Canis lupus familiaris: one gene and its partners. The protein of the gene in region 3 interacts with the protein of the main gene of each other region in a pairwise test. Links are inferred from orthologs where the notes say so. Each region holds a gene or a part of one and is shown on either strand. Other genes may lie near its edges. The genes, in order: EFEMP2, NELL2, HOXA1, EGFL7, FAM221A, FBLN1 and SPRY1.

What was found.
Region 1: the proteins of HOXA1 (region 3) and EFEMP2 interact in a two-hybrid assay, tested with the Homo sapiens proteins (2 studies listed by BioGRID and IntAct). The link is inferred for Canis lupus familiaris from reciprocal best matches to the Homo sapiens genes HOXA1 and EFEMP2.
Region 2: the proteins of HOXA1 (region 3) and NELL2 interact in binary tests that used the Homo sapiens proteins (3 or more experiments, as listed by UniProt). The link is inferred for Canis lupus familiaris from reciprocal best matches to the Homo sapiens genes HOXA1 and NELL2.
Region 4: the proteins of HOXA1 (region 3) and EGFL7 interact in binary tests that used the Homo sapiens proteins (3 or more experiments, as listed by UniProt). The link is inferred for Canis lupus familiaris from reciprocal best matches to the Homo sapiens genes HOXA1 and EGFL7.
Region 5: the proteins of HOXA1 (region 3) and FAM221A interact in binary tests that used the Homo sapiens proteins (3 or more experiments, as listed by UniProt). The link is inferred for Canis lupus familiaris from reciprocal best matches to the Homo sapiens genes HOXA1 and FAM221A.
Region 6: the proteins of HOXA1 (region 3) and FBLN1 interact in binary tests that used the Homo sapiens proteins (3 or more experiments, as listed by UniProt). The link is inferred for Canis lupus familiaris from reciprocal best matches to the Homo sapiens genes HOXA1 and FBLN1.
Region 7: the proteins of HOXA1 (region 3) and SPRY1 interact in binary tests that used the Homo sapiens proteins (3 or more experiments, as listed by UniProt). The two-hybrid records come from large-scale screens. The link is inferred for Canis lupus familiaris from reciprocal best matches to the Homo sapiens genes HOXA1 and SPRY1.

What each region holds. Positions count from the first base shown.
Region 1 is NC_049239.1:51,895,926-51,898,517, reverse strand, and holds the end of EFEMP2 (EGF-containing fibulin-like extracellular matrix protein 2), read right to left. Parts: intron 2,570-2,592; coding exon 2,450-2,569; intron 2,363-2,449; coding exon 2,236-2,362; intron 1,970-2,235; coding exon 1,774-1,969; intron 897-1,773; coding exon 735-896; 3' UTR 593-734; downstream 1-592. UniProt on the Homo sapiens protein: Plays a crucial role in elastic fiber formation in tissue, and in the formation of ultrastructural connections between elastic laminae and smooth muscle cells in the aorta, therefore participates in terminal differentiation and maturation of smooth muscle cell (SMC) and in the mechanical properties and wall integrity maintenance of the aorta.
Region 2 is NC_049248.1:37,245,332-37,249,745, forward strand, and holds the start of NELL2 (protein kinase C-binding protein NELL2), read right to left. Parts: upstream 3,085-4,414; 5' UTR 3,020-3,084; intron 1-3,019. UniProt on the Homo sapiens protein: Plays multiple roles in neural tissues, regulates neuronal proliferation, survival, differentiation, polarization, as well as axon guidance and synaptic functions.
Region 3 is NC_049235.1:40,366,203-40,370,679, forward strand, and holds the start of HOXA1 (homeobox protein Hox-A1), read right to left. Parts: upstream 2,976-4,477; 5' UTR 2,679-2,975; coding exon of another isoform or gene 2,029-2,678; exon of another isoform or gene 660-2,028; coding exon of another isoform or gene 547-659; exon of another isoform or gene 405-546; coding exon of another isoform or gene 286-404; exon of another isoform or gene 193-285; coding exon of another isoform or gene 172-192; exon of another isoform or gene 64-171; 5' UTR 8-63; coding exon 1-7. Other genes in the region: WAS/WASL-interacting protein family member 1-like, read left to right, coding at 172-192, 286-404, 547-659, 2,029-2,678. UniProt on the Homo sapiens protein: Sequence-specific transcription factor. Regulates multiple developmental processes including brainstem, inner and outer ear, abducens nerve and cardiovascular development and morphogenesis as well as cognition and behavior.
Region 4 is NC_049230.1:48,880,409-48,883,967, reverse strand, and holds part of EGFL7 (epidermal growth factor-like protein 7), read left to right. Parts: intron 1-14; exon of another isoform or gene 15-55; intron 56-156; exon of another isoform or gene 157-214; intron 215-2,666; coding exon 2,667-2,788; intron 2,789-3,047; coding exon 3,048-3,164; intron 3,165-3,559. UniProt on the Homo sapiens protein: Regulates vascular tubulogenesis in vivo. Inhibits platelet-derived growth factor (PDGF)-BB-induced smooth muscle cell migration and promotes endothelial cell adhesion to the extracellular matrix and angiogenesis.
Region 5 is NC_049235.1:37,402,442-37,406,743, reverse strand, and holds the start of FAM221A (protein FAM221A), read right to left. Parts: upstream 3,008-4,302; 5' UTR 2,932-3,007; coding exon 2,867-2,931; intron 33-2,866; coding exon 1-32.
Region 6 is NC_049231.1:21,496,170-21,499,958, forward strand, and holds part of FBLN1 (fibulin-1), read right to left. Parts: intron 2,798-3,789; coding exon 2,738-2,797; intron 1,343-2,737; coding exon 1,241-1,342; intron 664-1,240; coding exon 526-663; intron 1-525. UniProt on the Homo sapiens protein: Incorporated into fibronectin-containing matrix fibers. May play a role in cell adhesion and migration along protein fibers within the extracellular matrix (ECM).
Region 7 is NC_049240.1:17,792,787-17,797,012, forward strand, and holds the start of SPRY1 (protein sprouty homolog 1), read right to left. Parts: upstream 2,874-4,226; 5' UTR 2,707-2,873; intron 253-2,706; exon of another isoform or gene 1-252. UniProt on the Homo sapiens protein: Inhibits fibroblast growth factor (FGF)-induced retinal lens fiber differentiation, probably by inhibiting FGF-mediated phosphorylation of ERK1/2. Inhibits TGFB-induced epithelial-to-mesenchymal transition in lens epithelial cells.

The DNA of each region.
Region 1 (2,592 bases), on a different chromosome or scaffold from region 3:
CAACAGATCCAGTGGTTTTTAAACTGAGCTCTAAGGACCCTGGGGTTCCCTGGGAGAGCACTGAGACCACCAAGGAGATGGAGTCAGTGAGGCGTTACAACTTTGAATCTAGTTTATATCATCAGAGTTCCCTGATAGGATCAAATATCCTTCCATAATAAGTTCTGTGTTTTGGAAAAGAAATATGTGGAAAGCACTAATCTTAATTGCCTCATTTTATAGATTGGAAAACTGATGCCCAGAAAGAATCTACTAGGGTTTAGTCAAATTGATAGTTTGAGGCCAAACTGGGATTAGAACCCAAGGCCTCCAATGTCTACAGTAGAGTTATAAACCAAACTCCAGTTCCTGGGCTGGGTCCCTGGAGTCTGTAGCCTTATCATCTCCTCCATTCTCAGACCGATTCTGATGTGCATGGTACATGGATCAATCCTGGTCTTGGGGACACAGTTCCCAACTTCTATCTATGGGGCACCCTGAGCCCGAATGGAGATACCCCCCTTTAGGTGATTGGCCTGCCTCCCACAGCCTGGCCACTTCCCCAGTCCAGGGGTTCACTACAGTGTTACCCACCCACCTCAGCCACCAGGACTCCTTCTTTCTCCCTTTATTGCCTTTCTCTTTCTACTCTTCACAACAGCATCTGCCCTTGCAGCCGAGCACAGTCATCCCTGAGCCCCAGGCTCTTGGGCCACAGGAAGCCTCTCCCTCCCTGAGGGCTCCCCACCCCCACCTCAGAAAGTATAGGCCCCCACGAAGACGGTGAGTCTCAGTACAGAACTGGCCCGGTAGCTCATGAGGGAATTCATGGTGACCATCTCCAGATCCAGCACGTACTCCCGGGGGCCCGTCACAGGCCGGGCGAGGACCAGCATGGCGCTGACATTGTTGATTTGCTGCAGGGCATAGTGGGTGGGGGACATGTAGATTGTGTCAACCTACATGCCAAGACCCCTGCCCCAGCCTCACCTCCCCATCCCATATCTTGAGCCCACAATCAGTTGGCTGTGAAATGGAGAGTCCTAGCAGGCTGTGACCCCAGGCTCTCATCCAGCTCTGATACCCTTGACATCTTGTCACTGATGCACCCAGGCTCCTGCCCTCAGAAATTTCCCACTGGTGCTCTTCCCACACTTTCCATCTAGTTCTTTTGTCTAATCAGGGTCAACTGATGATGCAAGGCCAGGTGGGAAACTTTTGGGAGTGGTGGGGTCTTTGGTGACCTGGAGCTGGCTGACTTCCCTTCAGAGCATCCAATTGCAGAAAGAGAAAACAAGGACTAATATCAGATAAACCCTTGGCCCCCTCTCCTCGTGAGTCATGCCTGGATCTCTCCCTAATAGCTCCACCAGCAGCGAGCTGGATTCTTGGATGCCAGACCCCTGCACCAACCCCTGCTGCCTCTCTCTCCAAGGCCCAGCTCCATCTGCTTGTGTTCCCCAGACCCTGTTGTGTCCTGTTACCTGGGCAGGCTTCTCATGCCAGTGCCTTGTTCTAAGAGTGAACAAATCAGAGGCCAGATATGGAAACCAGTGCCAGGACTCAAACCCCAGTGTCCAAGTGCCTCATTGGAACTGCATTTAACAACCTGTAGTTTGTTAGTTTGTAGCAAGGGAATTTAGAATACCCCTACCTTTCTGCAGAAATTCCACCTCCTGGGGGGACAGGGCTTTGAGAAAAGGGGTAGAGCCAAATCTCCCACTTAAGGTTTTCTGGAATTCAGTTTTGGATTATGCATGTCACTTGAGGGGTGCAATTAGGGGAAAGCCTTACCCTAATGTAGAAATCCCCTTGCGAGTTTCCTGCACGGATCTGAAAGGCATTGTAGGCGCCAGGGTAGACAGAGGTTGCTTGGATCTGGAACACATCGGCGGGCACACTCCGCTCTGAGGTGATGCTCATGTAGCGGTGCACAATAGACGAGGGCTGCTCCCGGCACAGGGGGTTGGAGGCCGGACAGAGGCAGCGACTAGAAACCCCAAAATGGGGACACAAATGAGGTCCTGGCCTATACCCCAAGTTTGGTCCCATTCCTAAAACTAGGTATCCCCAAAGGATTCTCCCACTCCTTCTAGAACTGTTTGCATGGTTTAGTCATGAAAGACTACAATTCCCATAGGCCCTGGAGCACTAGACAGCCTGCACAGCAGCCAGTCAGCCACAGAGCCCTCTGAGAGTTGTAGTTTCTGCGGGCGGGGGGTGTGGGGGCGGGTGTCTGGTGTCCCATGGACTCACTTGTCAGACACCTGGACGTAGGGTTCCACGCAACGGTTGGTATCCACACAGCGGTAGCCTCCATGGAAGTTGACACAAGTTTGGGCCTCAGAGCACTGGTGCGCGCCTGACTCACACTCATCAATGTCTGCATCAGGGGAAAGGGGCTGGAACCCAGATGTCAGGCCACCAGCCCCCGATACCACCCTACCTGCTCCACTGGGGCAACCTGTACCTTGGCAGAGGCGTGTGGCCAGCAGCTGGTAGCCCTGCGGGCAATGGCAGGAGAAGCGGCCAGGTTCGTTGACACAGCGGTACTGGCAGAGGTAACTGGAGTAGCTGCACTCATCAATATCTGAGGAAGAGTGGGGATGAGGG
Region 2 (4,414 bases), on a different chromosome or scaffold from region 3:
TCATCTCTGAGAAAGTCTCAGTTTCCTATGCTTGTAATATTTTGAGCAAATAGGGACTCCTGGGTGGCTCAGTGGTTTAGCACCTGCCTTCGAGCCAAGGCATGATCCTGGAATCCTGGGATCGAGTCCTGCATCGGGCTCCCTGCGTGGAGCCCATTTCTCCCTCTGCCTATGTCTCTGTCTCATAAATAAATAAATAAATAAATAAATAAATAAATAAATAAATAAAAATATTTTGAGCAAATAGAGAATAAACTATTTGCATGTAAATATGAGCTGATGGTTATATATTTGTTAGTCTCACACGAGTTTATAAATCAGAAAAAAAAATCCTTGGATAGACCACATATCTTAATTATAGGTCTAAACTTCCATCTCTCCTTGAAATTTCAGAAGCACTTAAAATCATTTGCTATCTTTTTCCTGAAATTATCTCACCTCTGTCCTATTTTTAAAAATATCTCTTCTCAAAAAAAAAAGGAAACCTCTTATTCACCTATTATTTTCTTTTCTTCCTTCTACCCCAAAATTAGTTCATTATATTCCATATAATTCTTGAACTTTTAGCAACATTTAACTGCTTTTTAAATTCTTTCAACTCAAAAAAATAAAATAAAATAAATTCTTTCAACTCTTTAAAATTATTTTAAAATTCTCTTTCCCGATATATATATAAATATAAATATATATAAATGTGTATATATATGTGTATATATAATACCTACTCCATCTATATAACATTATATATATATATATATATATATATATATATATATAATGTTCTTTCATTAGTGTCCTTAATGGCTTCTTTTCTTCCTCCTGTCTCCAAAGATAGGTAATCCCCAAGAACCAACAGCAGGACTTCTCCCTGCTTTCTACGAGACTAATCTTCATTAGCCATGTTGTTTATTATTGTGATTTCAACTGCTGTTTCTAAACAGAATGTAGTCCAACGAACCATTTTATTTCTACCCAGGTCTCCAATAGTTATCTCACATTCTATCTAAAATCCCACTCATCTTCCCAAGCAAAACCAGTTCTTCTGATTTCCTTAACTCTGTAGAAGAAGCCACCAACTTCATAGTCACTCAAACTTAAAATCTCTATTTCTTATCCATCCTAGTCAGAAAGTTTAACTTATTCCACCTCCACTCTAGACCTGACAATCATTACTTCTCTAGGATCATAAAAGCTTCTCAAGTGCCTCTCTGTCTCAGTTTTCCCATCTTCCAGTCCACCTAGAATTTTCTTTTCTTTTTAATATTTTATTTATTTATTTTACAGAGAGAGCGTACAAGCAGGGGGGTGGGTGGGGGCGGGTAGGAGAAGCAGATTCCCTGCCAAGCAGGGAGCCCAATGCAGGACTCGATCCCAGGACCCTGAAATCATGACCTGAGCCGAAGGCAGATGCTCAACTGACTGAGCCACCCAGGTGCTCCCAGAATTGATTTTCAAATTGATCTTCCGAAACCTGGTATCATAAGCTCCTTTATTCAGAAGCCTTTAACAGGCTCCAACTGTATGGCTAAAGAAAGTCAAACCTCCTAACCTGGCACCCAAGGCCCTTTCAGGCTGTGTGTATTTCTCCAAAGATACATATCTTACAACAGAGTCACATCTCTCAGGCTCTAAAATCAGACACAAGAAAATCATGAATAACCAAAATTACCCTGGAAAAGTCCTTCGACAGGACCTCCACTGGAGACCACGAGCTGGTTCAGCACAGCCAGTTTTTCCTCCAGCATTGGAACAGATTCCTGTCTCTTTGGTTGAGCACCAGATGAAGTAGTTGGCTTGCTTTTAGGGTCCATTTTATATGAAAAATGCATATATGCATATCTTTAAAAATTAGAATCACACTCAGCTCAGTGATATGCTCGCACTTGAGAGACACCCAGAACAGAGGCAAACTGAAGGCACCAAAGATTCTCAGGCTTCCTGTCACGCTCACTCCAGGCAATCACTGGGAGGAATGATGGGCAGCATTGCCAGCACTATCTAAATTGTAATGTTTCTCTTTTTTATTTCTAGGATTGTTAGTTCCTTTTGCTAAGATAATGGCATTCCACCGTTACGTCTTTTTAAAAAGTTATTTAGATACTTGCCTTTATTTCCCCCACCCCACCCGAGCATCGAGGACAGGAATCAGGCCATATTCCTATTTACATCTTTACAGCACATAACACTGTACTGATTCACCCTGTAGATATTTTCTCAGCGAACCAAATTCGCCTTGATTTGTTTCTAATAGTTAAGTGAATAACAGGGTAGTTTTAAACAGAATATGCCTGATGGTAACGTCATTTCCTATTTTATTGAGAATCCACGTCTTTTTCTGTATGGACGTATTGACAAAGTCTTTTCTATTGAATCACTTCAGAGCAGCAGCTATTTTTTCTTTTCTAAATAAACTAATCTATTTCACGCGTATTAATAAAACAGTAAACTCCAGTGGAGGCAGCGAAATGGAGTGATGTATGCTTAGTGTCTATACCTGATAACCAAAATACGCATGTTAAAGTATATTTGACACATATTCATATGTCTAGATGTCAAAATAATGATAACTTAGAGTCGTGATTTTAAATAACAAGGAAATAACTGCTGAGTCATCATGATTGTATGAAAATCATGAGGAAAAAAAAAAAAAAAAAACCTTGATAGCATCCCTGCATTAAACTAGGTAGTTTGCCAATATTATTTAAATATACTCGATAGCTAAAAACTCCCCTAGAAAAAAAAAGCCATAATTCTACTACCCTATGTAACCTAAGATTGTAACTAGAACGATATTTAAGTAGCTTGATATTTATAATATTTAATATTGATACTGATATTTATTTATATTTACATTTAAATATTTACCTTGGGGGAACCCAGAGCTGCTTCTGGGACTCAACTTAAATAAACCACCCTGTGCATTTTGGGGTGGAACACACCAAAGTGAATTTTGGACTCGCTGCCACATCCTCTAGGTACCTGTGTTTGGTCCTTCCTGAAATTCAGTGAGAGAACCTACCCTGTAGCATCCGGGAGTGCACACCTGGCAGGTCTGAGAAGTCACCTGGAGCTGGGGCAGGGCTGATGACCGTGTCCCAGGAGCACCAAAGGGAAGCTAAGGAGGGGTGGGGGGGACTCGAGGTGTGTCACACGGCCCCGCTTCCCTGGGCAACACCTGCCGGGCCTGGAGAATGTTCCTGGGAACATCGATCCCCCCCACCCCCTCCCCGGGAAGGTCGGAGCTAGAGGGCCCTGGGTGGGGGTGGGGTGGGGGGGGCTGGGTCCTGCAGGCTGCCCTCTAGGGGCAGTGGAAGGAAACGGCTGCACCATGAGGTTCATGTTCCAAACAGCAGCCAGTACCTGACAGGGGCCCAAAGTAGAGGCACCCCCAATGGATGTGGGGGTGGGCCTCTGGCATTTGGAGCTGGACAAAGATGCTTCTGCGTCAATGATGCGAGGCGTGCTTAGTAGAGAAAAACCTTCCTACCTAGACATGTATTTGGGTTTTTCCCATATGCCCAAGGATGTTGCCCTGAAGGAGAAAAGCTGTAGGTCGGAATCAGGAAAGAACAGAATGTATCCAGGCTTTGGGACCAGACAGATAGGTGTCCACATTCCAGCTTCCCTGTTTCCCAGCATGATATCTTTTTTTTTTTTAAGATTTTATTTATTTATTCAAGAATACACAGAGAGGAGAGAGAGAAGCAGAGGCACAGGCAGAGGGAGAAGCAGGCCCCATGCAGGGAGCCCCAAATGGGACTCGGTCCTGGGTCTCCAGGATCACACCCTGGGCTGCAGGCAGCGCTAAACCACTGAGCCACCCGGGCTGCCCCTGGCATGATACCTTGAGCAATATATTTAGTCTCTCTAACCTTACCTGTAAAATATAGAGTCTGATATACAAAGTGCTTCAGAAATAGGACACAGTTGATGGAAGGAAGGTCTACTTGTTATTTTTATTCAATCTAATACAACTGGGATCTCTGAGAGTCTGGGCGGTTATCATTCAGTGCTGTCCCTAGCTGCCTTTAATAAAATGCTGGGGATCCCTGGGTGGCTCAGCGGTTGAGCGTTTCTGCCTTTGGCCCAGGGCCTGAGCCTGGAGTCCCGGGATCGAGTCCCATGTCAGGCTCCCTGCATGGAGCCTGCTTCTCCCTCGGTCTGTGTCTCTGCCTCTCTCTCTCTCTCTCTCTGTGTGTCTCATAAATAAATAAGTAAAATCTTTAAACATAAATAAGTAAATAAAAAGAAAATAAAATCTGGCACCTCCACCTACCAAGACTCCAGATCAATAAGAGCCAGACCAAATATGAGATGCCACAGGAAAACCTACTGCTCCTAAAACTGCTGTCTTTTGTACTCTGGATATAGATTTTTTTAATCTTTCTCATGAACATCAGAAGGTAGCCTATCT
Region 3 (4,477 bases):
TGTCCATCTGTCACTGAGGGACCGGGTCCTGCGAAGCCCTGGGTGACCGTGCCAACTTTCTCACTTCCTCCATGGGGCCGGAGAAGAAAAATGATATGAATGTACAGTGCGCAAGAGGGGGGGCGCGAGGGCGGAGGGCGCAGGGGGAGGGGCACGTGACTCCGCCAGCCAATGGCGGAGCCTCCTGCGAAAGTTTGCTGGCTCCCGCGGTGATGGATCACCGTTTCAGTGGCATTTAAATCCCCGGCGCTGCTCAGTCTAGGTGACGCGCAGTCGCCCCCCCAGGCAGCCCAGGCGGCGGCGGCAGCTGCGGCGGCTGCAGGGGCAGATTCGGAGCGCTGGGCCGAAGGGGAGCAGCCGCCACCCTCTGCGCGCGCCGACTGCGCTCTCCCCCCCTCCGGGAGGTGGGGGCTGGGAGGCATCCCCGTCTCCGCCCCCTCCCCACCGAGCACAGAAAGATGAACTGGCGAGAGGTGAGAAGGGAAGAGGGCTCCGTCTCTCCGGGGTCGGGAACCAGCGGGCCAGAGCTCGCCGCCCTGCCACCAGCTCGGGGCCCGAGCTCGCCGTGCGCGGAGCAGGAACGGCAGCTCCCCGGGCGCTTTTCAGTCCACAGTCCCTGCTGCGGTGCCGGGGCAGCGAGAAGCCCAGGGGACAGTGGCGTAGGACGAGGCTGGGCCACCAGCTCTTCAAGCTCGGAAGGGAGAGGGAAGTGGGCAGAGGATTGGCCTGCAGGACCCCAGGTGGGCGTGGAGGGGACAAGAGCAAGGGAGAAAAAAAACAAAAAAACAAAAAAAACCCTCCCTTCTCCAAGGAGGGTCTCCGAACCCTACTCCCTCCACCCTAACATTATTAGCAAGGCAATGAGAAGCTTCTGTAATTCGACGCCCGGGAGCGGGTGATTGGTAGTATTTCAGCTGGCCGGAAAAGGCCGGGGGTGGCCGGGCTCTTCGCCCTCCCTCTCTCCTCGCTCTCCGCCCCTTTCTCCTCCCCACTCGGCTTTGCTCCGGGAGCCCTACGGGATCCGGAGCAGCTCGGCCGCGGGATTTTGAAGGGTTGGAGGCGGGGGAGAAAGATGACGCTAGCGGACGTGGCCAGCGTGGGGGCCGGGCGGTGCGCTGCAGGCCATCTGCCGGCTCCCCCGGACCCAGGAGTCTGCGCGCTCCGGCAGGGGCCTCAAAGGGCGAGCCCGCAGCTCCAACAAAATACGCTGAGCTCCCCCCGCAACGGTGCTCGTTTTCTGCAGGGGGGATGTTGGGAGTGGTAGGGCCTCCTTTATCCACTGACCGCCCCCTCCCCTTTCTACTGCACGTCTGAGGTGGGGGGTAGGGGCTGGCAGGTGGGAGGGGCGGGGGACAGATGGCTGATGGTGGACGGGATATTTTCTTCTTCCCCAACACCTCCTCCCCTTTGTAACTGCCTGTGTAGTTCCTTGTGTGAACCTTCAAGTCTTTCCCTAGAGAGACACGTGCAAATCTGAGCGTCATCCCAGGCCAGGGGTCCTGTTTTCCATCACCCTCATCCTACCCTGATGCTGACGGGGTCGTTAATTGCTGTTTACTATTAGGTTTCGTGTCAACCCTTGGCTTGTAGAGAGAAAATGCCAAACTGAGACCGAGGATTGATGCATTCTTAGGTAAAAGAAATCCAGAGATCATCCAAGAAGCTTTGCAGCCAATGCAGCATAGATTTGTCTCTGACCCTGTGTACCACATCGGAATCGAACAGATAAAAGTAATTTGAGGATGGGGTTCCCACTCCCCTCTAGCTTTCCTTCCCCAGTTAGAAGAAGAAAGTTTTGCTCGAGGCAGGCACATTTCAAGTGTGTTAGTCAACCTTTCAGGGTTCTCCATCCTGTTCTCCACTTATAGAAGGCTTCCCCCCTCCCAAGTCGCCCCTTCCCCCAGGGGAAACTCTTGCAGAAGTCAGACTACGGATTCCCTCAGTAGCAAAGAAACATTTCCCCCCCAACATTTCCTTTTGAAATGGTATTTTTCAATGACCTTTGACCTATCCCCAACCCCGGTTAAGAGAGAGCATGGACAGGAAAGGTCACTCCTGCCCCAATTTCAGCACCTGGGGACGTTCATCTTCGAGAAGGGAAAAGGAAAGGCGGCCCTTCTGGAGGCGGCTTCTTTGGGAGCTCCAGGCTTCCAGCGACGGGGAGAGGAGGGGCTCCTGTCGGGAAGGAGGTGGAACGTGAGAGGGTCCGTGCTGGCATTGCGGACGATCTGCCTTCCGAACCAAAGGACGTCCTTTCCCCTGGCCTCACTCCTTTGTTGGCTTCTTCAGCCCGGGTTTGCGCAACCCCCTTGGCCGCAGGGCTCGCGCCACAAAGCGCCCCGGGCCGCAATCGCTCCCCTTCCTCTGCTAGTTCTCGGCCTCTGCGCTCCACTCCTTCCACTTCTCTTCCTCCCTCCGGGCCTCATTCCAGAGCCAGCACGGGTGGGGGTGTTTTTCTTGGGACCACATGCATGCGCTTGCACACAGGCCCGCAAGCGCTCGGGGCCGCGACCGACCCACCTCCGCGCACTGCTCCCGGCTCCCGGCTCCCGGCTCCCGGCCCGCCGGACTCTCGCAGCCCAGCCGGCTCCGCCCCGGTTGGCCGCCCGGAGCGCTGCTCTCCGGTGTGGCTTACAAAGGCAGGCTCCCCTGGCCTCGGGCCCGTAAGGCTTCCGTAGCTCGGTTCTTTCCCCACCCCCACGAAATCCTGGGGCTCACTCCGCCTTGCAGAAGACCCTGGGCCTCGGGGCGTGTAGGCCAGCGCCCCACGACTCGAGCTGAAGTCCCTTTAAATGCCCCGGGAGAGAGAGTGGGCGAGAGGAGAGCTCGATCGCTATTTAAACGAGGACCTGCGAGCGGCTTGCTGGGCTCAAAGCGCCTCTTCCAGGGCTCTGCTCTTAGCAAGGAAAGGAGCAAGGAGGAGACAAAACGCTGCCGAGGCCCGGAGCTGTTCATGGCATCCGCGGCTCAGCCAAGCTGTTGTTTTAAAAGAGCAATAAAAATGAATTATGACTAAACGCCTTCTAACTTAATGCTTTCGGACGGGGATCCCCGGCAAATACGTAAGAGGATTTTTATTTGTGCATGTGTTCCTGCAATTGATCTCTTTGATGACATTCTCATTCATAGAAAGCGTTTGATTTATGAGCGTAGGACGAATCGCAAACAGCAGCGGCTCAGCCGGGGCTGCGGCCGGGCCGCCCTGCTCAGTTCCGCGCCTGGAGCTGGAGACCCGCCCGGGTCCTCACACGCCTCGGCCGCTGCCAGGATTTAGGGGGCAAAAGGGTGGAGGAAGGTAGGGTGCAAACCCATGGAGAGAGATCGCGATTTCTTTGTAACTTCCGAGCCTTAGCTATTAAGAGCCGGGCTCCTAAATCAACCCGCCCCCCACACATGTTGCTTACACGCTGCGTTTTCTCACGGTAAGTGGCCATCGCGGCAGAGCTCAGTAAGGGAAAGATCAGCATGGGGAGATGTAAGAAGGGGGAAAGAACCAGAACAACCCAGTAACGTGCCCTAGATCACATTTTATTGATATTTTATTTAAAGTGCTTGTTCTCTTTCTTTCTAGAAACTGGGTTAATTTATAACCTAGGGCGCAGAAACTCTCCATTTAAAATCTCAACTTGGTAACCTGACTTCACAGCTTTAATGATCCATTATTTGCCATGTAAACAGATTTAAGAATGAAATATTGATTTTTCTGACCCTGAAAAAAAGAATCCTAGAATGACTGAACCAAAGGATTGGAAAGAACCCTTTCTGAAGTGCATTTTCCAGCTAGTAACCATTGTTTTGTTTTGTTTTTGTTTTTCTCTACCTTTTAGGTCTGTTTGCCTGGACCCATCAACAGCTGGGAGACTAATCAACCACACTGAAAATGTTTCCGGGATTGTGGGGGAGGGGTTGGAATGTAGATGTTTGAAACAAATGTGTATAAATAAATGAATTTTGATAACTTAGTTATTGACCTGAAGACTGGTAGCTTGTTAAAGAAACTCCATGTTCCTCCTTCCTGGAGTTGGGGGTTTCTGTAGGCACTTTATTTCGCCACTTTCAAAAGCTTGGGCTTGGCTCAGCTCTGGGGCTACCCAATTCTGTTTCTATCACCAATTTAAATCTATGGCTTGAACCTCTACACTGAAAAACCAAATCCATTCCCTTTAAAAAGAAAGAAAGAAAAAAAGGAAAGAAAAAAAAAACACTTCTCAGAAGTCCTAACCATTTTCTGGTTTTCTTTTTTGTTGTTGTCTGTTGAAGACTTTGAACATGCCCCCTTAATAAATATATTAAAATGGAAAAAGAAGATGGATTGTGACCAGAATTTTATTTACCAAGTTAGACTAAAAGAAGAAAAAGAAACCGTTATGAGCCTTGAGAAAGAGGGGGGAGAAAAAAATAAGAAGCTACTTATAGCAAAGGAGAATTTATTCTACCAAAAATACTCATGACAATGCATCCTAATGTAATACAAAAA
Region 4 (3,559 bases), on a different chromosome or scaffold from region 3:
CGGCGCGGCGGCGGCGGCGGCGGCGGCGGCGGCGCGTGCGCGCCCGGCTCGGGCGGTGAGTGCGGAGGGAGCGAGCGCGGGGCCGGGGGGCGCGGGGAGCGCGGGGAGCGCGGGGGGCGGGGTCTGCTCGCCGCGCGCCGGGGGCGGGGGAGGGCGGGAGCCGGGGCGCGCGCGGAGCTGGGGGGCGACGCGGAGCGACCGCGGGGAGCGAGAGGTGAGCGGGCCGGGCGCGCCGGGGGGCCGCGCGGGAACAGGACCCCCGGCTCTGCCCGGATCCTGCGCCCGGTCCCGAGAATGGGCCCAGGGGCCCCGGGAAAGGGCGCCCCCTGCCGGCACCAGGCTACGAGCCGGGCCGCTGGGGGATGTGGGGGCCGGGGCCCGGGCCGGGGGCGCGGCGCAGCCCCGCACCCGCGTCCGGGGCCTGAGCGACCCGCAGGGCCTGGCCCGGGGCCTCGCCGGCCCCAGACCCCGTGTCTCTCTCCATCCTCGCCCCCTCCCCCGGGGATCCGGCGTGCAGGAGGACGGGCGGCTTGGGGCCGGCGGCGGAGGGGACGCTTCGCCCCCCGCCCCCCCCCCCGCCTCTTGTCACCCGCCTTTCTGCCCTCCCAGGGTCCAGAGCACCCCCCCCCCCCGCCCCTGCTCCGGGCCGCCGCGGTGCGGAGAGTCAGGCCCCTCCCTCTGCGGAGCCAGCCCTCCCGGGTGGGCCCCCGCGAGCTTGCAGCGCGGGCAGGTGGCTGGGGAGGGAGGTGGCAGGATGGGCTCCTGCTGACCCTCAGGGAGGAGGGGACACAGTTGCTTCTCAGCTGCGGCGCTGCGGCCACCCGCCCCCCCACCCCCGCCGTATCTCCCCCGCCCAGCTGGGCTGCAGAGGGAAATGAGACTGCCAGGCCAGCACCGGGGAGGTAGCGCCATTGGCCTCCTGCGGCCCCAGAGGGCAGGACTTGAGAAATTGAGTCTCTCCTGTTTTAAAGCATGGTCCCCTTGTAAGCGGCTTTCCATGAGCAGGGCAGGTGCTAGGGTGGTATCCGCGGGGCAGTTGGCCTCGCAGAGTTGGGCCTTACCCAGCGCAGGTAAGCACAGGGTCTGTGGAGCCCTGCTATGCTCCTACCCAGCTCCCCCTCCCCCACCCAGGGCCCTGGACCCACCCCTACCTTCCCAGCCCTGTGCCACCTGTTCCTGTAGTTTCAATTCTTGCTGAGACCCCTAGGAGTGCCCCTAGTCGTGTGCTCCCCCTGGGCCCGTTCCCAGAGCACCCTGACCCACAGGTCATGCCCCTGCCCCGAACTGCTGAGAAGCACCCCACTGTCCCCAAACTAAGATCTGGCACCTTGGCTTTGCTGCTTGGGCCACCGACAGAGAACAGAGGGTCCACAGAGGACTCCTCCCGCCCCCCAGCTGCCTCCCGCCTCCCCAGGTCCATGAAGTGCAGGGGACCGGAGCAAGGATCCACTGCCTGCCGGCCATGTGGACCCTCCCCTTGGGCTTCGGCTTGGCAGGCCGGAGGGCTCAGTTAGTGCCCATGGTGGTCACTCTTCATGGGGCCAACTATCAGGGCTGGACAAGGGGCCTCTGAGACCCTAGTGGTATCTGAGGGAACCGAGTTCCAGAGACAGGGCGACCCTCCCCTGATTCTACCTTCTGCCACACAGCAAGCAGTCCAGCTATCCTCTGTGTCCTTCCTGCTGGATGCCCTGCAGGGCCAGGGGCTGCCCACTTGGGTGGAAGTCAGCCCCTTGGGGGCCTCTGATGGGGTGCCTGGAGCCTCACGTGTGCACGGCAGCACCCCCCACCCCTATCCCCAGCCCACCACACAGGCCCCTCTGCAGGTAGGCAGGCAGGCAGGCACGGCAGGTAGGCAGGCAGGCAGGCACGTCGCGGACCATTAATTCTGGGCTGGGCTTTCTCACATTCTGAGGAATGAATGCTTCCTCAGGTCCCCCGCGTCCGTGCCCCTTCCCTAGGACAGAGGGATGGCTTTGGCTCCACTGGCATGTGGGGAGGGCTGCTCCAGTCATCCCCTTTCCCCCCACACTGTCCTGGGAGCCCTGGACCAGACCGGTGGGACCCCAGCATAGGAGTGACTCCATCTCGTGCAGTCTCTGCCCCACTCTGAGAGGGACCATATGGCTCCTCATATGGAGCACCTGCACCCTTCATACACTCCCGTGCCTCCCCCGTGGCTCCCCGTTGCAAATGAAGACACTGAAGGCCAGAAGGCCAAGGCCCTGGGCTGGCTGTTCCCACCACCACCACCCATGTGCAGACTGACGTGGGACTGCCCGGCCAGGACACAAGGGCGCTATGTCCAACCAGGGCAGGGAGAGCTGGTCCAGGTGCTCTCCTGGGCCCCCACCTCCTCAAGTGAACTTTGCAGGAGCTGCAGATGTTGCCTCTGGCCCCAGGCGGGGGTCGGGGGGGCAGGGGTGTGCTTCTGTTCCTGCCATCGCGGCCCTTCTGTGGTTCCAGGCTGCTTGTGACCTGCAGGGGCAGGCAGGTTGCAGGAGGGGGAACTGCCTCTGTCTTTGGGGGCTTCCCCGCCCCCCCAGAGGCCGCAGGGGGTGGTGCCAGCAGAGAGGCTACACTGGGCCAGGGAACAGCCTCCCCCAGAGGCACGGGGTGAGGAGGGGTCTGCAGATGGGTTTATGGGGCTGTGCCTTTGGCTGCAGGCCACCCGGAGGAGAAGGCCGTTGCACCTGCAGACGTGGGCCATGTGTGACTCTAGGGAGCTGCTCCTGCTGTGGTTTCTGGTGCTGGCAGTGGGTGGCACTGAGCACGTCTTCCGGCCTGGGTGAGTCAGAGCCGTGGGGGGCTCGGGCCTCAAGGTGCCGCCGCGGTGGGGGTGGGCAGCCAGCTGCCCTCAGGGCAACCCCAGGACTCGGGGAGCCAGGGCTGGTCCTGTGGTTTTCACACTTGCTGAGAGTCTTTCCTGTGGTGGCGCCAGGAAGCCCCTTCCTCAGGTTCTTGGCTCCCTTGGTTGCGGGGCTGGGAGGGTCTGGGCGCAGGGCTGGAAGCTGTGGGACTGACTTGCTGGCCTCCCCGCTCTGTAGCCGCAGGGTGTGTGCCATCGGGGCTCCCAGGGGCCCTGAGTCTGAGTCTTTTGTGCAGCGAGTGTACCAGCCCTTCCTCACCACCTGTGATGGTCACCGGGCCTGCAGCACTTACCGGTGAGTGCCCCTCCCCATCTGCCACTCGGCCACCTGGGGCCCAGGAGGGCAGTGTGCCCCAAGGTGGGGAGCCCGGGGCCCAGCATGGTCACAGGGACTCCCTAGGACCATGTGAGTAGATGGCAGAGGCTGACACCCGCTCTGCACTGGGCGGTCTTAGTAACTACAGGCGTCCTCACCGGGGTGCACTTGTGCTCCCCGCATCTTTGGAGGGTTTGCCCTCCCTGTCTCCTGCCCTCTGCTTTTGGGGTGTTGGCTACAAGTTCTTACATGTTTGAGATGATGGCTGCCTCCCCAGAAACCCGCCTCAGAGCTCCAGTGGGAGCCTCTCCCCAAGAGGCCCCTGATGGTCACAGATGGAGACCCTGGTGCCACAACCCACCCCCCCAACCCAG
Region 5 (4,302 bases), about 3.0 Mb from region 3:
AAAGTTTCCCTCCATCGTCATCACCAACAATTCTACAACAATAAAAACATCTCTTAAGCCTTGAATATTTATTATTCTACAACAATAAAAATTTATTTTAAGCCTTGAATATTTATTTTCTAGGTTAAAAACACTAAACTAAAATTAAACTATGCTTATAAAGTCAAAGGAAATGCTGCTTCAGCTTTGCTTTTTTTTTTTTTTTTTTTTTTTACATTAGGCTTATGTTAATAGCAAAATTACACACAATACTAGTAAAGCTTGGGACACCTGGGTGGCTCAGCGGTTGAGTGTCTGCCATTGGCTCAGGCTGTGATTTTGGGTCCCAGGATTGAGTCCCACATTGCAGGGGGCCTGCTTCTCCCTCTGCCTATGTCTCTGCCTCTCTCTTTCTGTGTCTTTCATGAATAAACAAAATCTTAAAAAAAACAAAAAACAAAAAACACTTTTTTAAAAAAAATAGTAGTAAAGCTTTTGCTTTCCAAGTAAAAGAGGATTATTAAAAAAAAAAAAAAAAAAAACTCTTGAACTCATGACATCTGACTTTACTGATCCAGGTTTACCACCGAACAATTACCGCAAATTCAATCTCATTTTCTCCTTTGATTCTGAAGCAAACATGTTCACACTTTTCAATAAAAACTGGAGCCTGGGATGCCTGAGTGGCTCAGCAGTTGAGCGTCTGCCTTTGGTTCAGGGCGTGATCCTGGGTCCTGGGATGAAGCTCCGCATTGGGCTCACTGCATGGAGCCTGCTTCTCCCTCTGCCTATGTCTCTGCTTCTTTCTGTGTCTCTCATGAATAAATAAAATTTTTTAAAAAATAAAAAAATTAAAGCTGATGCCTAACCTGCTAAAAAAAATCTAATATTTCCCTTCTTTAAAAATAGTACTCCTGGGACACCTGGGTGGCTCAGGAGGTTGAGCATCTGCCTTTGGCTCAGGGCATGATCCCTGGATCCCAGGATAATCATTGTTTAATTCCAAAACATCAACTTTAAAGTTTTATGGGAAAAATTAAGCTACCACTATTTCTTAATTTCTTAAGAAATTAAGAGTTGACATCCCTGGAGAAAAAGGAAGCGCAAGTAAAATAATTTATTCAGAATTGAAGAAATTTCTCCTTGAAAATATCACCCCTTAAAAGTCATGAAAGATGTTTGTTTGTAGGATGCTACTTAATTTTTTGTGCAATCCATACTTTTTCCATACTTTCAAGCCTTTAGCTGAGGTAGATAAATAAAACCAATGCAGAAGCTACGAAGCCATCACAACCTTCTTCCTTACTTAAATAATTTAGAAACACAATAGTAAAAAGGGGGGGGGGATTTTATTCTGAGAAAAGTTTTGGGTCATCTCACATTATAATAGCTGTCATGAAGTTTACCAATAGGTACTGAAAAAAATCAAAATCAATACAGGTCTTTAAAGATAGAGATCATTTGTATTTGCTAAGCCAAGCCAGCACAGCTCAAACTTCACAGTAATTACAGAATCCCCGAGGGATCTAGTTCAAATGCAGATCCTGATTAATAGGTCTGGAGTGGTTCTGAGAGTGCGCATTTCTAGCAAGGTCACAAGTGAGGCCTACACCACTGGTCCATGACTGCTACACTTTGAGTGGCAAGGCTCTAACTTTTATAGTGAATTCTTCCAGGTAACTGTATTTGCAAAAATCATTTTCCACCAGGTCTTGACATTTTCTGAACCAGACAAGAGACCATATCTGGAGGCTGACAGTCCACTTATCTAAACTAATTATCTAAGTAATCAACCAACACCAAGGCCCAGCAACTTACTCCCAGGAAAAAGCCCTGGAGGCTAAAGGAGCCGGCCCTGCCCTTGGTGAGGACTGGGTGGAAACCGTTCTGGGCACAGGACTCACGGCCTTACCTGGACCCACCAGACCCGGGGGGATGAGCCTGACTCACCAAGCTCCTCATTCTTACTTATCTGGCTCAGAATTACCAACCGTTTCTAGGTGTTACCCAAAACTTCCACCGGGACCATCAGAAGGAGCGGAGGCCAACTAAGCAAGCCGTTTGTCCTAGCAACCCTGGGTGATTTGGGGCGGCCGTCTTTAAGCAGAGCACCCCCTCTTGCTCAGACTTCTCAGGCGGGGCAGTGATTGCCTCACTTCCCGTGTACACACACACACACACACACTCTCCTCCCTCCGACCCCCTCCCTGGCCAAACGGCCTCCCCTCTCCTCCTCCCCGACCCCGACGCCCCTGGCGCCTTCAACCGTAGCCATATGCTCCTGCTGGTCCCTCTCCAGGAACTCCCACTCACCCAGTCTCCCAACTGCCAAAAACCTTTCTTGGGGAGACCAGAAAAAATAACATGTCTCCGCAGGTGCATCAGCCTTGGTCAGGGCCCAGGGCAGTGAGTCGCATCCTCAAACCAAAGCGGCAGCTATGTTTCCATCTCCGTGAGAGGAGTTTCTCGGGAACCCCCGCACCACCACCAGTCTTTCTCCTAAAACCAGCACCTCGGGGTTGGGAGCATTTGGAAGCTCACGACACACCCTATTGCTAAACCACCATGCAAACGACGAGGCCCGAGCAGTCCAAGCGTAACTCGTCACAGGCCACTTAGAAAAACACAGTTGCACCTCCGCACAAATCTAAGAGTTAATAATCCCTCCTGGAAGGGGTCGGAGCGGGAGATCTGTTAAACAGCCTCGGGAGAGACTTATTGCAACTACGGTGAGCTACGTGTCATTACAATATTACAAAAAGACGAAACTCCAATGAAGGTTTGTGAGCCTCCCGCAACAGCCGGGGATCAGATTCCGGGAGCCTCCTCCGGCGCGGGGGACGCGGCCCGCCTGCCTTCTCCTCGCCACGCCGAGCCGCAGCCTCACCTCCGGTACTCCAGGTAGTCGTCCACGGCCGCGGCGCCGCCGGAAGGTAAGGTCAGCCGCTCCATCGTCCGGGGAAGCGAGAGGCGGCCATGGGCGCGCCGGCTCGCGGGCCTCCCGGGAGCGAGGCCGGGCCCGCCCCTGCCGGCCGCGCCCCCGGCAGCCCGCCTCCCGATTGGCCGCGCCCCTGAGGGCCACGCCCCCTGCCGCCCGCCTCCGGATTGGCCTGCCCCTGCCGGCCACGCCCCCTGCCGCCCGCCTCCAGATTGGCCGTGCCCCCTGCCGGCCACGCCCCCCGCCGCCCGCCTCCGGATTGGCCTGCCCCTGCCGGCCACGCCCCCTGCCGCCCGCCTCCAGATTGGCCGTGCCCCCTGCCGGCCACGCCCCCCGCCGCCCGCCTCCGGATTGGCCTGCCCCTGCCGGCCACGCCCCCTGCCGCCCGCCTCCGGATTGGCCGGGCCGAGGACCGCGGCGGGGCGCGGGGTGCGCGCTTCCACCTGGCCGTGGCATCCCGGCGGGAGAAACCCGTCCCCTAGAGCAGCCCGAGCCGCCCGGATTGCTCTTTACCGCAGGCTCCAACCTGGCGCGGGTGCCTCTCCCTTTCCCGGGTCTCGCAGCTCTCCTTGTAGGGTAACAAGTGACGAGGGAGTGCGATGCCTTGCATATCGCGGACGCACAGAACATGGCTTAGTTCTTTGTACAGAGCTTTTCGCTGATATTGTGGTTTCAAAATTGGCATTTAAAAAACTGCAATTTAAAAAAATTAATAATAAATAAACATTTTTAAACTGCGATGTGGGGCGCCCGGGTGGCTCAGAAGGTTAAGCATGACCTGCCTTCGCTCGGGTCATGATCCCTGCGCCCTGGCATCCGGCCCCCCATGGGGACCCCTGCTCAGCTGGAAGCCTGCTCTCTCTCCCTCTGCTGCTCCCCCTGCTTATGCTCTCTCACCCTCTCAAATAAATAAATAAAATCTTCAAAAATTAAAATAAAAATTTTTTAAAACGGCAATGTAAATCAGCTAACTTAACAAATATAGCAGAAAGTGCCAGGCTATGTGAGCTGATAAAAAATTGGCAGGGGAGTGTCTATGTAGGCAAGTACAAGTTAATGAGTCTAGAGGGAAATAATTAAAATAGACAATGCAGTTGTAGGCTCTTCCAGTCAACTCTGACCAAAGAAGTCACTGACAACACTATGGAACAAAATAGAAAATATTACTCTAACATTTTATGAAAATGACACCTTTTCATTAAAATACTATATATGGTTTTAACTTTTGTTGTTTGTTTGTTTGTTTAAGTGTTGGCACACCTGGGTGGCTCAGTGGTTGAGCATCTCTGCCTTTGGCTCAGGTCGTGATCCCCAGGGTCCTGGGATCGTCCTACATAGACTTCCCGCAGGAAGCCTGCTTCTCCCTCTGCCTAATAAATACACAA
Region 6 (3,789 bases), on a different chromosome or scaffold from region 3:
GGGCTGGAAACCCTCAGAAGAAAACTATGTTCTAATAGATCCTCATCAAAGCCTTATCTGCCAAATAACATCTATGGCTTGGTGGGGAAAAGGCCAGCAGCCAGAAATGTCATGTTTTTATGCAGCGGAAGAGACTATGCTTTGAACTTCAAGGAAGCCTGGAGTCAGATGGAAGGCAGCTGTTGTATAAAAAAAAAAATTTTTTTTTTTTTTTTTTTTTTTTTTTTTTTGCGTGGTGGGTAGAAAGTCCATGTGAGCACCTGGAATTCACCTCTGCTCTTGTTTTGAAATGATCCTGCCCTGAACCTTTTCAGAAGTGCAAACTCACCCTTGTCATTAACTCAACCTTACAGTAAAGAAGGTAAATCTTTACTAACAATATAGCTGGCCAGTGCCCCCCCAGGAAGTCCTGGGGCCCCGGGGCGCCAAGGGAGCCCAGAGCCCGGGGAGCCCGGTGCTGCCTTTAGCAGCACATCCTATCTACTCCTGGGGAGCTGAGGTGTGTAGGCTCGGAGCATGTTATACCTTTGCAGTCATTGTCCTCTGTGAGTTCATAGCCAGTCCCACAGCTGCTGTCTCTCTGGCAGCGGAAAGAGCCCACCGTATTGACGCAGGACTCTCCGAGCCGGCAGTTGTGGTTGCCCGTGATGCATTCATTGATATCTAGGAGAGACAGAGGCAAAGCAGGAGTAACCAGCCAGAACCATGGCCCCCCTGAGCTTTAACAAAAGGAATGTACCAGAAGCATGGGGCAACTGGGTCCCAGCATCTGTGAAGTGCCCTCCGCCACGTGCATATTCGGGATGGAAGGGGTCCTGGGCACTCATTACCAATGGCATCCTCCCCCTGCTACGTCTCAGATCTATTGCTCCCTCTGAGCACCTGCTAAACACATGCCAGGCCCCGAACTGGAGTCATGTGATCATTAAGGCCTCCCCCAGGAGAAGCGATCACCTGCCTCCATCTCCCCCACCTCAAGAGGGGCTGAGGGACTTGCTGAGGGCCAGAGCCTGGTCAGACCCCAAAGCCAACCCTCTTTCCCGACACTGTATTCATATGTTCCTGGAGGAGAGCCGTGGCTGGGCGCCACGCGCTGTAGACTCCAGGGAATGCTGTTCTTCACCCACAGATGGGGCCCCGACGTGCGCCAAGTGGGGCCTGCCCAGGTGTCAATCGGAGGCCGAGGCTCCCAGTGCGGCTGCGTGCCGTTGTGCTGTCGCTGGAGCTCAGTGACCGTTACCTTCACAGGACACGCTGTCAGGCAGCAGCTGGTAGCCCACGAAGCAAGAGCACACGACCTCCTCGCCCGTGTCCCGGCACTGCTGCTTGCAGGGCCCCCCGCCTGGGATCAGAGCAAATCAGAGCGAATGTTAGCCAGGAGCCCAACACACACCAGAGACCTTCTGGGTTTCCGGTTCTGTTTGGACTGGGCCAGAGCAAATGCACTCAGGGTGGACAACATACAAAGGCAGGCTCCCCATCGTGGAGCCCAGCCTCTCTGGCCTCGTACCCCCTCCCCTCTCATGGGAGACCCCCAGGATCCGGCCCTGGGCAAACCCCAGGGCTGCTGCTTCAGGTCTGAGCCCTGGTCCAACAAGCTGGCGGCATGCAGGGCCATCCCTGCCGGTTGTAGTGAGGCTGGGAGGGACAAGGCGGAGAAGCCAGTGATGCTGCTGGCTTCGTGCCCAGCACAGACACGGAGGGGCAGTCCCGTGAGGCCCCTCTCCCTGCAGAGGTGAGCTGTGATGGCCTTCTGGGTGGCCCTGCTACCTCCCCTCCACCCATGCTTCCCACGGGGCAGCTGAGTGATGCTCAAAGAGCAGATCTCCCCGGGACAAACCTCCACCAACTAGAGCCGCTACCACAGTTCTGACCACTGCCCGGGGCCCGATGACCCCGGCCCGCCTCCCCAGCCTCTCCCTCTGCCCCCACCGCACCCCTCCCTGCACCATGGCCCACCAGCTGCGGTGGGTCTGGGTGTGCACGTCTCCGCTCCTGCTGCCCAAATCTCCGTCCACCCTCACTCGTCGCAAACCAGCTACTTCCTCCCCCAGGAAGACCCTCCCACCCACCCCCACACCCCCAGGGAGCTTTCTGGGCTCTCTGCCCTCCACCAGTCCCACCCCTACCCCCCACCCCGCCCCTGTGCCAACTGTCCCTGTGCGCTGACCACATCATTTTGTGATTACACTGGCTCCCAATTAACGCTCCAACCACAGGCAGGGCAAGGCTCCGAATGAAGCTTTGGAGACGACTTGCCAGTCTAGACATGTGGGAATGCTCCGGGAAAGAGAAATAAAGTTTTATCATCTGAAAAACAAATCTGCCAGGCCCGTTGTGCTCACTTTACGTTTGCAAACGTCTCCCTTGCGAGACACGGATACGTGGACACGGTCCCTGGCACTGCTGGGGCTCCAGGACACAAAGTCAAGCAATACTCACCCCTCCCCAGATGGTCCCCCTCCCCGGAGCCTGTGTTTAGGGGGTCGCCATAGTGGGGAGGCTTGTGATGCCCACTTCCCGCGTGGCCTCCTCCCTGTGCACCCACCAGTCCCAGGCTTGGAGGGAAGGAGGAGGTGGGGAGCCCAGGAGTGCCGGGGGGATGGGGCAGAGGGACCTCAGCGGACTCCAAGCCAAAGGGCTCTTCCCAGGAGAACCCGAGTGAAACGAGAGGTCAAGCTCCCAGTGGGATTAGTGCCGTGTCCCCTGGGGTGGGGGACGGTTACCAGGGCCTCACCTCTGCAGCGGTCATTCAGGTATGGGTCCTCCTGTTCCTCCTCGATCTCCGAAATCTTGGCTGAGGGGAAAGAGGGGCAAAAGGGACATTTACCCAAACGCGGTGTCTCATCTCGTTTCTGCAGAAACCCGGAATAAATACTCCCCCTCCTTATAAATAGCAGGCAGTTGTGCCCATTTGGGGAGCTCGGTGCCCAAACGGCATGGGGGTCAGGCAACCTGCCTCACTTGCCTATTTCAGCAAATGCAGCCACGGCCCCCAGACCTTCAACGGTGCACCTGGTAAAGGCTTGTTGTCATGGGTTGAATGGGGTCTCCCCCCACAAAGATGGTGCAGCTCTAACCTCCAGCACCTATGGCTGTGACCCTTCCCTGGAGCAGACTGTTTGCAGAGGACGGAGCTAAGGGGCGTTAGGGTGGGGTCCGAGAGGCCGTGTCTGTGTCCTTAGAGAAAGAGGAGGGATGTCTGGGTGGCTCAGCGGCTGAGCGGCTGCCTTTAGCTCAGGGTGTGACCCTGGGGTCCCGGGATCGAGTCCCACACCAGGGTCCCTGCAGGGAGCCTGCTTCTCCCTCTGCCTGTGTCTCTGCCTCTCTCTCTGTGTCTCTCATGAATAAATAAAATCTTTAAAAATAAAAAAATAAAAAAAAAGAAAGAAAGGGGAAACCGGAGATAGACACACACGGAGGAGCAATGACGTGAAGACAGGCAGGAGATGCACCAGCCAAGGAGCACGCGAGGCCACCAGAAGCCAGAAGAGCCCAGCCTGGATCTGCGGCCTCAGAGGGACGTAGCCCTGCCATCACCTTGATCGGGGGCATCTGGCCTCCAGACCGGGAGACAGAACATTTCTGTTGCTTAAGCTCCCCCCACACCAACCCCAGTCTGCGGAGCCCCAGGAAATGCACTGCGAAGTAGCCGGGCATCAGCAGGGACTCACTGGGTGCACTCGGACAGGGGCCCGAGCTCTGCTCTGTGGGCCGAGCACTCGGCAGAGCCTTCAACAGGGCACCGGGAGACGGTGAGGGCACGGGGGGCAGTGGGGTACCCTGATG
Region 7 (4,226 bases), on a different chromosome or scaffold from region 3:
GGACCGCCCTGCCGACCGGCCGGGTCTAGCGCCGCAATCCGGGGCTGCGAGCACAGCCCGAGCCTCGGCACACGCAGACCTCATCCCTCCTTGCAAAGCGCTCGCAGCCGGGCGCTCGCGGGGCGGAGCATCCCGAGGCACGCGGGCAGATCCCACACGCCCAGGAGCACGGAGCCTACGGGGAGCGGGGCGAGGGCGCCGGGCGCATCCTGGACGCTGCGCTTCACGCGATCGTGGTACCCGAGTCCGTGGAGGCCCCCGGCCAGGGAGACCGCGCGGCGCGTCGGGTGTGAGGCGGGGCGGCCCGTGCCCCGCGGCGCCGGCGCCCGGTGCGTCCCCGGCAACCTGCGCCGCCCGCGGGGACGGGCCTCGGCGGCCGCTACCTTCGCGGCTGCGCCCTCCCGGGAGCCCCGGGCGCTTCCAGCCCGCCCCGGCGCGCGCGCCGCCCAAGGCCTCCTCCGGAGCGTGGCGGGCCCCCGGGGCTGCGCGGGCGCCGAGCTCGCCCGTGGAGGAGCGGGCAGGCTCCCCTGTGCTGCGGCGCCGCCAGCTGCCGCGGCGGAGCTGCGCCCTCTGCACCCGAGCGCAGGGGAGCGGCGAATAAATAGTTGACGGAGAGGAAGGAAAAGGAAAAAGTTATGAATGAAAACAAGTTCTCGCTCGCTCCCTCTCTCCGGGCAGGGCAGGAGGAGGGGAGGAGGCTGAGGTTACCATTACCTCAGGAGGGCGGACTTCCCGTTTTTAAAGCGGCAGCGCCCTCCCCTCCCCTCCCCTCCCCTCCCCTCGCCCCGCCAAACGCGGAGGAAGGCGCGGCGGGCTCGGGCGCAGCCTGGTTCTGTGCAGGGGTCAGCGCGGACGGCGGGGGGGCTCCGGGGCTCCCCGCCTGCCCCCGCCCCCCCCGCCGCGTCCGCGCCCACAGCCCGCCCGGGAGCCCGCCGCCGGCGCGAGGCAGCTCCTCGGAGGCAACACCCCCCGAGGCGCCCCGAGTCCCGCTTGGGCGCGGAGGCGTCCCTTCAAGGGGACGGGCCGCGAGCCCCGGGGCCCGCACCTGCCGCGCGGCGCCCGCGCCCGCCCCCGCCCCCGCCCCCCGCCGGCGCCCGGAGGCCGCGGGACACTCACCTCGGCCGGAGCGGCGCGACCCGCATCAGGCGCGGCGGGGAGGACGCGAGGCCGGGCCAACCCCCCTCCCGGCTGCGGGGGACACTCCTGCGGACCCCCCTCCCGCCGCGCGGCGCGGGCGCATCCACCTCGGGCTTCTCCCGCAGCCCCTTCCCGCGAGCCGGGGGGGGAGAGAAAGAACAGGAAGGGGAAAAAAGGTCCCCTGCGAGAGGGCTCTCGAGTCTCAGAAAACGGCAGAGACCAGCGCGCGGGCCGGGCCCCCGGGGCACGCGGTGCTCTGCGACAGTCCTCCCTCGGGTCCGAGCGCTCCCCGCGGCCGAGGAAGGAGGCGGCCCCCCGACGACTGAAAAGCCCACGTCACGGGCGTTCGAGACTCCGCGGCGCCGGGGACGGGGCTCGAACCGGCGTCTCCGGGCGCCTCGCGGAACCAAGCAGGCCCCGGCGCGGCCCGGGAGCGCACGCCCGCGAGGCTGGGGCTGCGGCTCCCCCGGGGGCGGGGTGCGGGGGATATTCTGGGTTTTTTTGTTTTGTTTTGTCTTGCTTTTTAGCCCCGCTGTTTTAGGGGTGGCGGTGAAGGGTGCGAGGTTGGGGGGGATTCCTCCCAAGGGAAGAGGCGGGGCGTCGTCTTTCGTGCACCCCCCCCCCCCCCCCGCGCAGGTCGAGGCACTTTCCCGATCCCGCGCGCTGGGCAAGTGGGGGGCACAGCGGCCCCCGGGACTCTGGTCCTGGCGGGTCCGCCTCTCCCGGGCAGCGCGCGCTCCCAGTCCTCCGACCCTCCGGTTCCACGGCCGGAACGCCTGCTCCCGAGGATCGGCGATTGGAAAACAAAACACAACAGCACATTAATTTCCCTTTCTTTGCAGGCAGCGGGACGCGCCGCGCGGGCGGCGGGGAGCGGGGAGCGGGGAGCGGGGAGCGGGGTGGGCTGCCCGCCAGCTCGCCCGCCCGCCCGCCCGCCGCCCGCCGCCCGCCGCCCGCCGCCCGCAGCCCCGCTGCCATGTGCTGGCTGTTGCTGCTCGCAGTGATTGACAGGCCGGCGCACAGTCGGCGTGTCAGCAGCGAACCAAAGTAACATGCAGTCTTGCACGTTTTGCCGAAGTGCTTTTGCCCCTTGGAATGCCAGGAGTTCAAACAACGTTCAAGCAACGCCTCTGCGCATTGGAAATCAATACACAGGGGACGGGAAATTCAGGTTTTAAACAATCGCTCCGCTCGGGATTCGGTCGCCAACAATGCCTAAACCAACATGTACTGGTCCACACACCGAGTGCCAGCCCCTCTTCGGCAAAAACCACCCTGTTTTTCACACAACCGACCGTTTCAGACTTCAGACTTGTTCGGATAAGGAAAAAAAAAAGAAAAAGAAAAGAAAAGAAAAGGATCCTACTTTTTCCTCTTAGCGGTAGCGTTTACTTTTTTAAAGAGCATTCGTTTTAGCACTGGGAATGCTACTGGTAATTTGAAATGCAACCAGTAATCTTAGATCTAAAGCGAGTTCAAAGAAATGTTCAGTTCCTTGCAAAAGCCAGCATTTCTCACCTAAGCTTTCCTAAAATACCTACGGAATGAAAGGAAGGAAACAGTTCTTACCTAACGCAAAGATTGGAAATTGCTTTTCAGGCACATTTACAGCGACTGTAGCTGTTCCTTATCCAGGGTAAGGAGCTCTGTCTGTTGCTATCACTCTGCAAACCACTGCGTGCCTTACAGAGCAATCCCACTCCAGCTCCGCAGAATTTCAGCTCGCCTCCACCTCCACCTCCACTCCAGGACACGCCTCCAGTGATATCATATGTCAATCATTCGGGCTGCCTGAAAACCTGGAACAGGATTTCTCCAACTGTCGTTTCCTCTCTCGTGCATCTGTACCAACTTGGAAATGTTGCCCTGTACACTCGTGGGTGATAAACATCCTCTAAAAATTGGAGATGGCCTCTAAAGACCCTACAAGTGCAGTTTGTCACAGAAGAACCCTTTAAATTTCGTCATCAGTCTCAGTCAAAGGATTGGCGGACACTGTCTTTAAGGTTGAATTAGAAAATAGTTTTGAGGAATAAAAGAAGATAAAAAAAAAGTCGTATGCCAAGCCAACACTTCTGATCAGCTAGAGAGAAAATGTATATTGATATTAAGAAGATGATAATGTAACGTTACAGTTACTATTTAAAGCCAAATTCAGAATGTGTGAAATGTGAAAGTTCAAAAGGCGACACTCCTTACTGCAAATGTATATAACGTTACCTCATAAAGGTGAAATTTCCTGCTGTAGATTTTATAGTAAGTGCTCTACCTTGTCTTGTGATATAATTTCCTAAAAATCGAATTTAAAAATCCCAACTTCCTTCAATTTTGTAATTGATTTCCATAATTTTGGAAAAAAAAAAAAAAACCTGCAACCAACTCATTTATTTTTAAAAATCAGCCAACTGGAAATCAATTAAAATAGAAATAATTTACCAAGAAGTTTTATAATTCTTAATGATATGTGTTGTGTTACTGGGGGGAAAAAGTATTTTAATCAGTAGGAAACTCACCTTTTGTTTTCTTACAAATTATGGGATTTTAGACATTTATTATAAAAATTGTGTACTTTATGCTGCAGTGAGGAGAACTATATGTGAAAGTTAAGGCTCCACAGAGCCTTTTAAAAAATACCTAAAAAGCAAAAATATATATAGTAAGTAGAGAAGTATTTTTTCCAGGTACTAGATATAAGTAGCTTAGTCTTTGACAAAATAAGGCAAACAAAACAAAACTCCAGAATCTAAACCATGTATAAATTTAGGTATGGGAATTTTCAATGCTTAAGCTCCTTCTTTACTATAACAAATGATTCTGTTGAAACTAGTGTTTTCTAGACTTTCAATGTTTGAGCACTTTAAAACATTAAAGTTGTATTTGGATTAACCTCTTTTGGAAGCTAGGGCATTGCTAAGACCATCAACAAGAAGAAAGCATCCCTAGAAAATAACATAAAACAAGAATGAAGCAAAAAAAAAAAAAAAAAAAAAAAAAAAAAGAATGAGGCCAAAAGGCTACATATTCACTCTTACTATAAACCCAAAAAATAGGGTAAAAGGATAAAATCAATTTTGTAGATATTTTCTTTT